2 linked regions of the Danio rerio genome follow. Each later gene encodes a partner of the first gene's protein in a complex. Links are inferred from orthologs where the notes say so. Each region holds a gene or a part of one and is shown on either strand. Other genes may lie near its edges.

Region 1 (7,223 bases):
ATATATTATATATATATATATATATATATATATATATATATATATATATATATATAATTATTATAAATTACTACTATAAAAAATAAAGATAGAAAATATAAATGCCCTCTTACTGTGGATGCAAATTATATTATTTATCCCATTTAAAAAACAACTATCAAAACTAAAAAATAATGGGATTTTCCTTTAATTAATATAATTTAAATAAACACCAAACTTTTTTCAAGTTTTGTCTTACTTTTGAAGGAAAATGGAAACCAGCAATGCCAACAGGAGTCTCTGGATGTCTTTGTGTGCTGCATATCTGAACCTGAAATGCAGACAATGTTGAAAACTAAAACAAATATTAACTAAAATCTGAATTAATTACTTAATTCATCTGCAGTACCTGTTTCTCAGGTTCTTTCTTCAAATGCTCAGTCCCCACATTTTCAGACTCCAGTTGATAAGTCAGAGCCAAAACCTTGATGTCCGTTGCTGACAGACTGGGATAATCTCCTGTCTTTTTAGCAAACTCTGTAACTGTTATTCAAAAACAAATATAAATCACTACCAGCACTGAAATAAAGACTTGGAAGTAAGACACAAAGAGCAGTTATTACCAAATTGAATGTACTCTGGAAATGGTTCTTTGAAATCAAGCTTGTATGGTAAAAAGGCCAAGCTCCTTTTAGTTGGTTTATCCCGAATTTCATCAACAACATCCTTCAAGGTATAAATGTTCTTGCCAATTTCCTATTGGAACACACAAACTTGTTATAACAGATAGAAATGGCAAGCATATATTATATTAAATACATATACATCTATTAAATGCAACATATACTAACGTTTCTTTCTTTACATTTCGTTTTCGTCTGGAAATACATATCCTATTAAGTATTCAAGTGTTTGTGTGATAACAACCACTGCAAATACAACAATCTAGGGCTGAACAATATATAGTTTGAGCATTGATATTGCAACGTGTGTGTCAGTCACGTCACAGGATTGCATTATTTATTAAAGATTAAAATATAAACATGTTATTAAATATTATTTAAAAAATATTTACAATGATGACAATGTATCATCTGATTGTTCCACTTTTGTACTCGAATACTGTTTTAGACTCCCCAGAAAATCATAAAGCACTGTTTAGGTATTTATTTTTGCTTGTAATTTAGTATAATTTATGCAGATCCACTGCATAGAAAAACACTTGATCCTCCCAGTTGATCTAAATAAATGAAATACATCCAAATAGAGCTCTTTAAATTGTTAGATTAACATCGCAATATATATCAGCAAAACAAAATATCGCAATGTCAGACTTTCAGTGTTGTGCAGCTCTAAAACGATCTGAATATTATTTAAAGGCAGTTTTTAAATAATACATACACTAGCTAGACACACAACAGACACACTAACAAAAAATACCATAGTAGAATGTGTTTTTTTTTTTGCAGTGCTTGGGAATAGATGTATAGATATTTAGATATATTTTTTATAATGAACATGCATGATATTGTTGTCAAAAGAACTAAAAAAATACACATCTACTTGAACTATTTTTAATTTGTTAGAGCTATTTTTTAATTTGTTTAATGTATTTATTTGAATAAGACCTCAAACTAATTAAAACTAGCTCAAATAAATGTGTATTTTAAGTTCTCATGTCAACAATATCATGCATGTTCATTATCAAAATATGTTGTATTACTAAATATAGACATGTCTATGCCCAAACACTATGCAAATACCTTATACTATGGTATTTTATACTAGTGTGTTGCCTTTGTATGATCTAAATCAGAGATGCCCAAACTAGGGCCTACGGGCCAAAGGTGGCCATGATAACTTTTGATTTGGCCCACCATCCGATAGGGAGAATGATGGGTATGGTTGAGGAATGCCTTTAATAGAGATTGTCATTTCTAATTTAATGTAACCTTTTGTTTGTTTGTGTTATTGTTTTGTTGCTACAAAAAAGCTAACCTAATTTAAATGTTTAAGTTTTTTTAAATGTATATACTATCACTTGATGGATAGAGAACAAGGCACAGGACTTTGGCTAACAAATCAATGCATAAGGATGTGCGGCTTGACTAGTGTGTTCTACATCAAACTCCATTGTGATCCAAATAAAATTGTTTGTTTATATTCTAATATGTTCATTAAAAATGTAAAAAAATGCATTAATTAATGAAATGTTTTTTTTATATCAATATTATTCCATAATTTAGGAACAGAAAAACATGGCGACTTTAATGTAAAACAGTTTATATTACAGCCCTCAATCAGGTTTAATCTTTGGCCTTTCATAAGAAAAAGTTTGGCCATCTCTGATCTAAATAATACACCATAATCATATCTATTTATTCTTTTGGGGGAAAATTGGTTTTATATTCGAGCATTAGGATTTTTCCCTTGATAATATAATTTCAGTAAAGTATTATTGGCTAATTCTAAATATGGAAATCATATTACGACAATGAAAGTAACATTACAGTCATACTTGCATGAGATTTCAGACAGAATGTTTAAAGCCCTATGATAAACAATATAAGTATCGTGTCACTGAGCAAATGTGGCCATATAATAACAGTAAAGTTCGCACTACGCAGTTACAACACGCGTGTCGGTTTCGTCATTTATCCCGCAGCACAGCCATTAAAACGCAAATTTCTGGACGTCGAAATTAAAAGAACCGAACGATAACCCAAATCCCTGAAAAAATAACTCACGTGCAGAGGAGCCCTTTTGATAAAAGCTCCAGCATCCACAACAACATGCTCCACTATGGTCGCCACCATCTTGACTGTGTGGCAGTAGTTCTCGCGAGGAGACGCAGTATCGTCCCGTTAGTATCACGTCATTTGTTGACGTTCAGGTGGGGTGAAGATGGCGGCCCGCTGGAGCAGTGAGAATGTGGTGGTGGAGTTTCGAGATGCACAGGTAAACAGTCGCTACACGCGTGTGCATGCTTTAAATGCGTTAGAAGTGTAGTTTCAAACAACTTTGAAGCAACAAGCATGCACTGCTTAAATGGCAAAGCTAAGCGACGTCTTTTAACTTTGAATTGAATGACATTCTTTTGTTTACTAATATGTTCCCTTTATAAACTTACCATGGTATACACTGTGCTTTATTAGTACCACAATGAACGTCTTGTTAATGAAGACTTTGAAGGCAGTCATGGTAGAATGACCGCTGAGAACTGTGGTTCAATAAGTAGTTGATAGTTCATACATCAAGATTATAGGTTGTTACTTATCCTTAAACTACAATACAAATTGATGAATGTCATTAAATATTGACTATCAAAGCAATGTTTATTTATTTAACTAAAACTCTTATGTTTACAAAACTTGAAGATAACAGAAGATTGTATAGTACATTTCAATTACAAAAAATACATTAAAAATGCACTGAAATTACACTAAAATACAATAAAAATGCACTAAAATTTTCAAAGATCAAACGGTTAAGAACAAGTACAGCAAGTTCTTCCAGTGTACTTAAGTTTTGATTAAAAAATGCCACTTCAAAGGATAGTCCTGATAAAATATATATTTTGATTTCTTTAATGTTGGTTGTTTATAAGTGTAGAATTTGGCACTCAATTATTCTGCAAAAATGTGTTTTTTAGTTGTTTTTAGTTTAGTTAGCTTAAAGCTTTATTAATCCCCATTGGGGCAATACATACTGATATTTATGATGCTTTACATATAACACAAATGACACACGTAACATCAACTAAACAAACAAATAATATATAAAATAATAATAATAAACCATCAATCATCTACATATATTATGTAATCGGATTGCTTCAAGCCCAAAAGTAAATTCATAATGATTTGAGGAACATCTAATTGACCTTAGACGTCGCCATAGGGGCATTCACTCACAAATAGCAATTTAATTTAATGTACTTTTCATTAAAGAAATGCTACTTTAAAAGTTTTTTTCCTGATAAAAATATACTTTAAAATTTCTTTAACGTTGGTTGTTAAAGGGCTTTAAGTCCAAATGTGGAATTTGGCACTCAATTATTCTGTAAAAACTTGGTTTAGTTAGCCTAAAGCTTTATTAATTCTCTTGGGGCTATTCATGCTGATATTTCTGATGCTTCACATTTAACACAAATGACACATGTAACATCAATTACACAAACAAAAAATATATAAAATCATAATTTTAAACCATTGATCATCCACATTTATTATTGCTTTTGGTACAAAAGTAAATTCATAACGATTTGAGGAACATCTAGTTGACTTTAGACGTTGCCCGAGAGGCATCCACTCAAAATAATAATTTATTTTATGTACTTTTCATTAAAAATGCTCCTTTAAAAGTTTTTCCTCTTAAAAATATATATATCAATATATTTTTAAAGTTCTTTAATGTTGGTTGTTTAACTCTTGTGGATTATTTAAAATGACGATCCTTTCGTTATGTTAGTTGCTGTTTTTGTTCCATTGACTTCCATTATAATGCCATTTTTTGATTGCAAAGCCATGGCAAATTTGACCTCTTCCCATCAGGGAAAACCAGCAACAGTCAAGAAGGCATGATTATATGGTGCCATGGCTTTGCAATCATAAATGTCTTTATAATGAAAGTCAATGGGGCAAAAATATCCACTAACATAACAAAGGGTAGTAAATTTACCCAGAGTGTATTGAGTTTTTCAAAGCATTTAATTTCCGAAAATTTGTGTCAAACTAAGATTTGTCACCAAAATCATTCCATTTTCAGAAACACATAGAAAGTTGTGGCCAGATTAAGACTTTAAATCACCCCTGGGTGGATGAAAACATCCCCAACAACACACAAGGGTTAAAGTCTTTATGTTCATCTCTCGCTTATTCATTAAAAATCTGTATGTTCAGTTCTATCAAGGCCACTGTAGTTCAAACAATGCTGTAGTTGAATTTCTGTAACATTTAAAAGAGTAGAAATAAGCCTGAAATGTATGCTATATAATAAACTTTTCTGTTTTCAGGCTAATGCTATGTCAGTGGACTGTCTGGGCCAGCACGCTGTTCTCTCTGGGTGTGTAAAACCTCCACTAATGTCACATCATCATGGGGAATTACCAGCACACCCTCCTGCACCAGCTCTAGCAAAGTTTTATGTGTTGCATATACTGTTTTTATTGTTATAAATTAGGGCTGCACGATATTAGAAAAATCTGACATTGTGCTATTGTATTTTTCTTGGATATATATTGCGATATGAATAGAATTTCAGCGGATGACTTAAATAGCTCTATTTGCTATTAAATCTTTAATTTAGATTGACTGGCATAATCTTATAGTGGAGTGAATCAAACAAATTGCAAGCATAAATAAGCAAAATAAAGCAAAAATAAAAGTGAAATAAGAAGTGTTTTATAAGTCAAACAGTAGATATTCAGGTACAGTAATTGAATACTCAAATGTAATGCAAAATATGAAGTAACACTGTACAGTCTTCATTGCTGACCAACTATAATTCCAACTCTGTACCGCGGATAATCCAATGTGATTATTTCAAATGCACACATTGTGATATAGATGCTAAAACGATATATTGTGCAGCCCTGTTATTAAATCTGTTTCTGTCATAACACAGTCTATTTATTCTTTCACACAGGAGACGATTCTTATACGTTGTAAATTTAGAAACGCCGTCCGAAGCTCCTCGTAAAATCAGCCGCCAGAGCAAATGGGACGTTGGTACAGTCCAGTGGAACCCACACAAATCTGACGCCCATATATTTGCTGCATCTGTAAGTAAACAAATATTAATTATATGTACAGTGTTCAGCATACATGAGTTCACCCCTCACAGATTTCTCTTTTTAATTAATATTTTCTACAGGGTGCATTACAATAATTTACAGTTGAAGTCAGAATTATTATTAATCTTTTTTAAATATTTCCCAAATTATGTTTAAATGAGCAGAGAAATTTTCACAGTATGTCTAATTATATTTTTTCTTCTGGAGAAAGTCTTATTTGTTTGATTTCGGCTAGAATAAAAGCAGTTTTTCATTTTTTAAAACCATTTTAAGGTCAAAATTATTTGGCCCTTTAAGCTATTTATAAGTTATTAGAGATAAGTTATTAAAACTATTATGTTTAGAAATGTGTTGAAAAAAATATTCTCTCCGTTAAACAGAAATCGGGGAAAATAAACACAGAAGGGCTAATAATTCAGGGGGGCTTATAATTTTGACTTCAACTGTATTTGTACATACTGTATGCATTAGATTAGTCATTACCAAAGCCAAAACTAAAACTAATCTAACAAAAAAAATTATGATCACAGTCCAAAAATGTGTACACCCAAATTAAAATGTTGGAAAAAATGTTTTAATAAACAGTTAAAATCAGTAGAAAAGATATAAAAAAAATATTCAATTTAGTTTTTTTGTAATATATCATTTGAATTTAAATGTATTATCTTTATATTCCTAAAGATGTTAGATGACCAAACATATATTTTAATGGATGAAAATGTTTAATAAACTGTTTAATAAATTGTTTAATTGCACCAAAATGTATTGGCTGTATACACTGAGAAATAGATATTATTTTAATTTTAAAAGGGAGTGTACTCATTTATGCTTTATACCCTGGGCTTAATTTGTGCCAGAACACTCCGGATCCGGCACCTCTGAAATCTAATCCAGCACCTTATTTTACCAATCCCCCTCTTCAACCTACCTCCTCCCCATCCACTGTTCAATTTCTTCCACGACAACCCTGACCCTGATCTTCACTTTTGTCTGTGACAATCCCCCCCATCCCCCCTCACGCTGTACATTTTCATCCACGACACCTTTTCATCCTCGGGTAAAATGCCAGTTATGTTACCTCGATCTGTTCCAGGACATCGCAATTTACAAATTAAGCCTTCTCATACCAATAAATAAATGTATATTTCATTTATTTAAATAATTTATTTATTGTGTTTATTAGATTTTTCTCAACAACTTTGCACAACATCATACCAAAATACCAAGAAAAATACAAATAAACAAGCAAAACAACAAGCGTGGAAGAGCAGGCTTAAATTAATGCATAGGAGAAGATGTAATCAATAGAAATCACAGAATTACAATTATGTCAACATTTATTTTTTCTTGGCAAGGTTTTGTTCTCTGTTCATTTATTATTATGTTTTACATGAACTTTTTAGGTTGTAAATAATGCCTTTCTCATTTTCATCCAGAGTAACCAGCGTGT
Region 2 (7,197 bases), on another chromosome or scaffold:
CGAAGCAGTTCATATTTCAGCCGTGCCACAGAGTGTCATCTGATTAGTTTCATGTTAAATATCATGAGAATGTGTGCGTTTGGTGTGTGATGGTTTAAACTGTCATGTGCGCGCCGTGTCGCGCGCTTCTGGTGTACGACCTGCTTGACTGCCTGTTAAAGCGTGAAGTCATGTAGGATTTTACTTGTTGCATTAGTCTGAGTCACGTCTGTGTGTATTGTCAAAACATTCCCTCATCAAGTCGACTAACTCGATCTCAACATGTATGAAGGACGTAAAAGCCTGCCATGTGAAAAACCGCGCTGATCTTTTGGTTTGAACACGAGTAGAGGTGAGGGACTGTAGCAGTGAAAATGAAAGTACCCGGCCCCATGACGTCATTTAGCGGACCTAGTTGAAAACCAGACAAATCAGGCAGCATAATACAGAGAGTGCTGCAAACCGCATCAAATGATCGGTATTTAAAAGGGGAAAAAATAAAAATAGATTAAATATATTATTTTATATTAGACACACATATGGTGCTTGTATTTGCTCCTGCTATACGTCCACAACTTCACACATTGGGTTAAATTAGGCTTTACAGTTTCCATGTTCAGTCCTTTTTCTTCCACTGTAAAAAGGCAGCAGCATTACAACCTGTCATTTAATCAGAAGACAAAGTCAAAGCCGAGCTGACAGCCAATCTTTCCCAGGCTCAGCAAAACTTGCAAAAAATACCTCTGTATTCCTGCAACTGCAATATTTACACAAATATTTCTTATTCAAATCTTCAGCACCACTATTTAACTCGTGAATTTGTTTTACATTTTTTTCACACCTTGATTGAGTTTTGTATGACATGGCCATTAAAAATACAATGCTCCTTAACCAGATGGTTTTTCAAGTTACTTTTAAAGTGAATGTTACTTCAGTCATGTTGTTGAGTCATTTTTTGAGAAAACTAGTAACACAATAAAAAAAATTAAATAAAAAAATCTAAATCGTGAATCGGTCAAACTTTATAAAAAACCTAGATTTTTTTTTTTTTTTTTTTTGGCCAAATCGCCCAGCCCTACCTTTACATAAAAAAAAAAAAAATCTGCCTTTAGGCTTTCAAAGACACCTAAGGAGATCAGGGCAGGTTTCCTTTTTAAATGTTGCAAGCATACAATGGTAATGTTTTATTTATTTATTTATTTATTTGCTACACTTATTATAGTCTAAGTCTTACCATGGTATTTGAGGTATACACAACCAGGGAAAAGTCTTGACAGCTATCCCAGTTGTAAGTGTAAAACATAATAACTTGACTTCTTGTTGATCATTTTGAAAAGTGGCAGAAGGTAGATTTTTTTCGGCTGAATCATCTGTTGAACTGCATCCCAATCATCACAAATACTGCAGAAGACCTATTGGAGCCCACATGGGCCCAAGATTCTCATAGAAAGCAGTCAATTTCGATGAAGGAAAAATCATCGTTTGGGGTTACATTCAGTATGGGGGCATTCGAGAGATCTGCAGAGTGGATGGCAACATTAACAGCCTGAGATATCAAGACATTTGTGTCGCCCATTACATTACAAACCACAGGAGAGGGCAAATTCTTCAGCAGGATAGCGCTGCTTCATGTACTCCACATCAAAGTTCCTGAAAGCTAAGAAGATCAGGGTCCTCCAGGATTGGCCATACCAGTCACTAGACATAAACAATATTGAGCATGTCTGGGGTAAGATGAAGGAGAAGGCATTGAAGATGAATCCAAAGCATCTTGATGAACTCTGGGATTTCTGCAAGAACGCTTTCTTTGCCATTCCAGATGACTTTATTAATAAGTTATTACAGTCATTACAGAGGTGTATGGATGCAGTTTCCGAAGCACATGGGAATCATGCACAATATTAATTCTTTTTTCCACTGCACTACGACTTTATATTCTGTACTTTACATTATTTCTGTTAAGTAAAATACTTTTGGCTTAGAAAAGTCAGACCTTACTGTCCAAATTAAATAAATAAAAAATCAAGGCATGATCATATTTGATTTTGGTAAAATAAGCGTAATCTAGAGGCATTTTCCTTTCATATAAGCCACTTCTGGTACCAAATAGACAACTAGAAGTCAAGTTATTATTTGTTGTTCCTACAAATCGGATAGACAAGACTTTTTTCAGTGTGTAATTGTATGGTGACAGGGTACACACACACACACACAAAACATGATTGCTACACCTTTAATTTCTTATAAAAATTAATCATGGTTTATATTAAATCTTGTTTTGTGTGTGTTTGTACGAAAAAAAAGACAAATTCTTACATTTAAATACTTGAGATTCTGTTTAGTCGTCAACAGTAAAATAAAAAAGTAATATAACAGTGCACACTTCATGCAAGCCAGACCATTTATAGCATGTCAACAATATCTAGTTTTACAGTAACAAAACAAGTAACGTTAGGCTTGTCCCTGTTTATTCCACTTCTCTTTTTTCAAAGAGTTTTAAAGTTTTGTGTAAGTTAAATCTTTAAAAAAATCAAGTTTTACATAAAACTCCCGGTAACAGCTTTGTCATTGGCCTATTTCTGTAAACATTAGTCATGAGTCTGAAACATGCGTCTCTAAAATACTCTTACCTAAAGTCTTTGTCAGTGGATGTCATTTTTTCCAACAGATTGGAAATATAAAAAGTAACGTTCGACATCTTGACGGTTAAAAGTACAGCGCTTAATGGACGATGCAAAATAAATAATGCCGAAAGTTTAGCTGAGTTTAATGAAGACCATTGCGCCTTACTGGACACTGGAGAGACTGGGACATATGACACTTTCGAGCAGTTATAAATAGAGATGAGTGACATTAATTTAACTCACTCTGCCGCCATCTGCTGGAATCAATGTGAACTGCAGAGCGCGGACGGAAAAACTGGGCGGAATCTTTTTTTCGTTCCACACGGAGGGTTTAGCTGCAGGAACACAGTCCGCTCTGAGCGGTCAGGTTTGCCACGTCGGAAATATTATCAGTATATTATTTTCTGAAGCACTGAGGAGTAAAAAGGGTACATTCTTAAAAGTTTATCGTTAAAGGAGGTTGTTGAGGGATATAAGCAAACATGGTGAGTGTTACATTATGGTATGTGGTGTATTTATGGTCAGATATATGTATGAAACCCGGTAGTTCACGAGCTGATAACGTAACGTTAAATAGAATAGAGTAATGATCCTGGTACTGTAAAGTCGTGATAATTTATTCGGTAATCTTGTTTTATTTCTATTTTTTTATTTTCTCTTGAGAATTAAAGCAGAAGTTTTATATATGATTAGATTATCTTCATCAAATTACCCTAATAAAGAATTGAATTAATCTTAATTGAATACGTTCATCTTAAAAACAAAACAACAACTAAAATCTCCTAACTAAACTAACAAGCAAGATCTGTAATAAATATTAACGGAACGTATAATCTATACCTACACTTTTTAATTACCTGTATTGTATAAAATATATTACAAAATGTGAAATACATGATAGTTAAAATGGCAAAACTGTTAAATAACTGCTTAGATATTTATTGAAAGAATAAATTGAAAACATACTGTAATTTGAGAAGACCGTGGATATAAATGTGAAATAAATTATTATTGGCAGTTTAAATAAAGGATTAGTTGTTTTAAAATATTAGGATTTTTATAATCTTATAATCTTTTTTAAATATATATATATATATATATATATATATATATATATATATATATATATATATATATATATATATATATATATATATATTTAATGAAATAATGAATGAAACTACACAGAATTTTAAAAATAGAGAAATAGATAAAATGGTTTATTATATTTAGTGATGTCAATCGATTTAAGTATTTAGTCTAGTGAATTGTGTAACATAATAAACGACATATAAAGATAATTATTATTAATTATTAATTAATTAAGTAATTATTAACTTATTATTAAAGAAATAAATAAACTAGTAATTGCATACATCACTGCTGATGATTAAATAAAAAAATGTAAATGAAACTTCTTTTTTAGTGCTAAAAATGGATTAAAGTATTTCATTTTATTACATGTTAATTACATGTAATGTGAGTATTTATATAGCAGATTTAATGTGTATGGCCATAGACCCAAAGCGCTTCACAATCATGAAGGGGGTCTCATGATAATGATGCGACGGCAGCCTCACGACAACGGCGCCAGTACGCTCACCACACACTAGCCATAGGTGTAGTGGAGAGAGACAGTTATAGAGCCATGATAACGATAATAATAATTATAATAACTAACAATATATTAAAAAAGAAAATGGTAATTGCATTTATTTTTACTTTACTGGTTGAATTTAGGGCTGCCATTAGATTATAATTCCAAATATAATAATATATAATAATGTTTGTATATTTTGTTAAAGTTGTCAAATAAAATAAAATAAAACGATCATTAGTCCAGTTAATTGCAGAACAAATTGTTACTAAATAAAATTAAGTAAAAAATATCTTGTAATTGCATACATGAGTAAGCCTATAAAATAAATAAGAATAACAAAGGCTTGTACTTTTTTGTATTATATTTATATTTAGTGCTGTCAGTTGCTTTGACTAATGTATCTGCTTAATTATTCAATAAACAACTATTCAATTATAAAATGATAAATTACACAAAGCCGTGTTGGGTGAATTAATGAGTAAATAAATCTATTTATTTGTTTAATCACACACTTATATTTAGTGCTGAAACAAATTTATATCTATGCTTGTACAGTATGTATGTAAAAAATAATATCAATCAAAAATAATGCACATTCCTCACTATACACTACATTTTGGTACTTTATAAGTCATTTTTAATACTGGTATTTAAATAAAATGCATGAATATATTAAAAAAACTTCACTTTTACTTTAAGTTCATGCACATTAAAGTTGAAGGTCATTGTTATGTTTTTAAGTCTCTTCAGCATGTGTGTTGTTGTGTGTTTCAGGTTTCGGTCATTAACACAGTGGACACCTCACACGAGGACATGATCGTGAGTATCTGCAGTCATCCTGCCACTGTCTTTACCTGTACTGCAAGTCTTCTGCGTTTATGCTGTTGTTCTTGTTGTGTTTTCAGCATGATGCTCAGATGGATTATTATGGCACCAGACTGGCCACCTGCTCTTCGGATCGCTCTGTCAAGATCTTCGACGTCAAGAACGGAGGACAGATCCTTGTGGCCGATTTAAGAGGGTGAGTGATATCTGAAAATGATTAAGATGCTTTAAATATCATTCAAATAATGCCATATGTTTTGTCTTTGAGATAATGCCATCATCATTTACTAAAACTTGTAAACATTTAAATTTATGTTCTTGTATAACAGAATGGTCAAATCCATGCAATGTTTTCCTAATTATTAATGGTGACTTATGACTAGGGCCAGGCAGAATCTGCTGACATTTTTGCTATTTCTGCGCAGAATTTTGTAAAAAAAAATCTGCAGATTTATGTGAAATGATTTTAGGAATGTCGTAACTGAAAACTTAATACATGACATAAAAAAGACCTTTTAAACTTTTATTTAATGTTTACAATGCAAATTAGATCAATTTATTTGGCAAACAAAGCAAGTATATGGTATATCTACTAAAAGACGGAAAATATTACAAATTGTTTTGTAAATAAATCATATGAACATTCTCGTATCAGTCAATAAAATTACTGAAAGTAATTTAAAAACGGAGACGAGGCAGTGGCGCAGTAGGTAGTGCTGTCGCCTCACAGCAAAAAGGTCGCTGGTTCGAACCTTGGCTCAGTTGGCGTTTCTGTGTGGAGTTTGCATGTTCTCCCTGCCTTTGCGTGGGTTTCCTCCGGGTGCTCCGGTTTCCCCCATAGTCCAAAGACATGCAGTACAGGTGAATTGGGTAGGCTAAATTGTCTGTAGTGACTGAGTGTGTGTGTGAATGTGTGTGTAGATGTTTCCCAGAGATGGGTTGCAGCTGGAAGGGCATCCGCTGCGTAAAAACTTGCTGGATAAGTTGGCGGTTAAAAAAATATTACTTTAAAAATTGTTTTGTAAATAAATCATATGAACATTCTCTTCTATCTGTCAATAAAATTTATTAAATAATTAATTAATTATTATTATTATTAATAATAATAATAATAAATTAATAATTAATAAAAAATTATAAATAATTAATATTTAATAATTAATAAAGGGACTAAGCCGACAAGAAAATGAATGAATTTAAAAACGGAATAAATATACATGTACACACATGAAAACAATTAAATAAATAGTCGCAATTATGGACTAAAAATCCGCGGACTTATGACTGATACAGAATTTCATTATCATACATTATACCTCTGAATGTCTCTGTTCAGTCATGAGGGTCCGGTGTGGCAGGTGGCCTGGGCTCATCCCATGTACGGCAACATCCTGGCGTCCTGCTCCTACGACAGGAAGGTGATCATCTGGAAAGAGGAGAACAGCACCTGGGACAAGATGTATGAATACACAGGCCACGACTCCTCGGGTAACCTCCCTTCCCATTCTCAAATCACACGTTTCCATTTCACATTTTAGCAATATTTTTTAAGGGGTGGGAATCACCAGTTCCACAATATTGTCACGATACAGTTAGGGCTGTGCAATTAATCAAAAATTCGATTTCGATTTTAATTTTGGCTTCTAACGATTATGTAAAAACATTAATCGAGATAAACGATTATTGCATCATTTACTGCCCCCTTTCTAGTTGTACGCGTGTTGAAAATCAAAAGACATGCGAAAGAGAAACCATTTTAAGAGACAGTGCGCGATAATCCTTCTACCGCCTGTTTTTATAATTATTAATCAAACAATAAATGGAGAACATGTCTTTCTGCTCTTGACTCAAGGACTGCTGCAGCTAAAGTGTTTTTCTGACATTGAAGATGCATAAAGCACAGTTTGCTTCATATTTTTATTCTATTGTTTTTATTTCTCTTATGTTTGCAGGTGGGAAAATAACTGTATATGCAGTTGAAGTGAGAAATACTAGCCCTCCTGAATATTAGCAACTCTCTTCTCCCGTTTTCTGTTTAATGGAAAGAAGATTTCTGAACTGATTTATTTTATCTTTGTCATGATGACAGCACATAATATTTGACTAGATATTTTTCAAAATACAAGCATTCAGATTCAAAGTGCGATTTAAAGGCTTAATTAGTGTAAT

The links.
Region 2: the proteins of wdr59 (region 1) and sec13 are in contact, whole or in part, in a cryo-EM structure (PDB 7UHY), measured with the Homo sapiens proteins. The link is inferred for Danio rerio from reciprocal best matches to the Homo sapiens genes WDR59 and SEC13. Residues at the interface, in NP_085058.3 of Homo sapiens: Ala525, Tyr526, Gly527, Asp531, Ala532, Asn533, Ile534, Pro535, Phe536, Pro537, Arg538, Thr539, Ser540, Gly541, Ala542, Arg543, Phe544, Cys545, Gly546, Ala547, Tyr549, Val551, Phe553, Thr554, Arg555, Met557, Ala644, Gly645, Lys646, Val647; in NP_899195.1 of Homo sapiens: Val4, Ile5, Asn6, Thr7, Val8, Asp9, Thr10, His12, Asp14, Met15, Ile16, His17, Asp18, Ala19, Gln20, Met21, Asp22, Tyr23, Tyr24, Gly25, Leu28, Val42, Pro59, Trp61, Gln62, His67, Pro68, Tyr79, Ser105, Asn107.

What each region holds. Positions count from the first base shown.
Region 1 is NC_133193.1:7,030,367-7,037,589, forward strand, and holds the start of wdr59 (GATOR2 complex protein WDR59), read left to right. Parts: upstream 1-2,871; 5' UTR 2,872-2,883; coding exon 2,884-2,937; intron 2,938-4,993; coding exon 4,994-5,043; intron 5,044-5,625; coding exon 5,626-5,761; intron 5,762-7,209; coding exon 7,210-7,223. Other genes in the region: RNA-binding protein NOB1, read right to left, coding at 239-310, 389-522, 603-735, 2,727-2,795. UniProt on the Homo sapiens protein: As a component of the GATOR2 complex, functions as an activator of the amino acid-sensing branch of the mTORC1 signaling pathway. The GATOR2 complex indirectly activates mTORC1 through the inhibition of the GATOR1 subcomplex.
Region 2 is NC_133197.1:32,943,687-32,950,883, forward strand, and holds the start of sec13 (protein SEC13 homolog), read left to right. Parts: upstream 1-2,981; 5' UTR 2,982-3,085; coding exon 3,086-3,088; intron 3,089-4,977; coding exon 4,978-5,022; intron 5,023-5,108; coding exon 5,109-5,224; intron 5,225-6,364; coding exon 6,365-6,516; intron 6,517-7,197. Other genes in the region: cand2 (cullin-associated NEDD8-dissociated protein 2), read right to left, coding at 2,610-2,677. UniProt on the Homo sapiens protein: Functions as a component of the nuclear pore complex (NPC) and the COPII coat. At the endoplasmic reticulum, SEC13 is involved in the biogenesis of COPII-coated vesicles.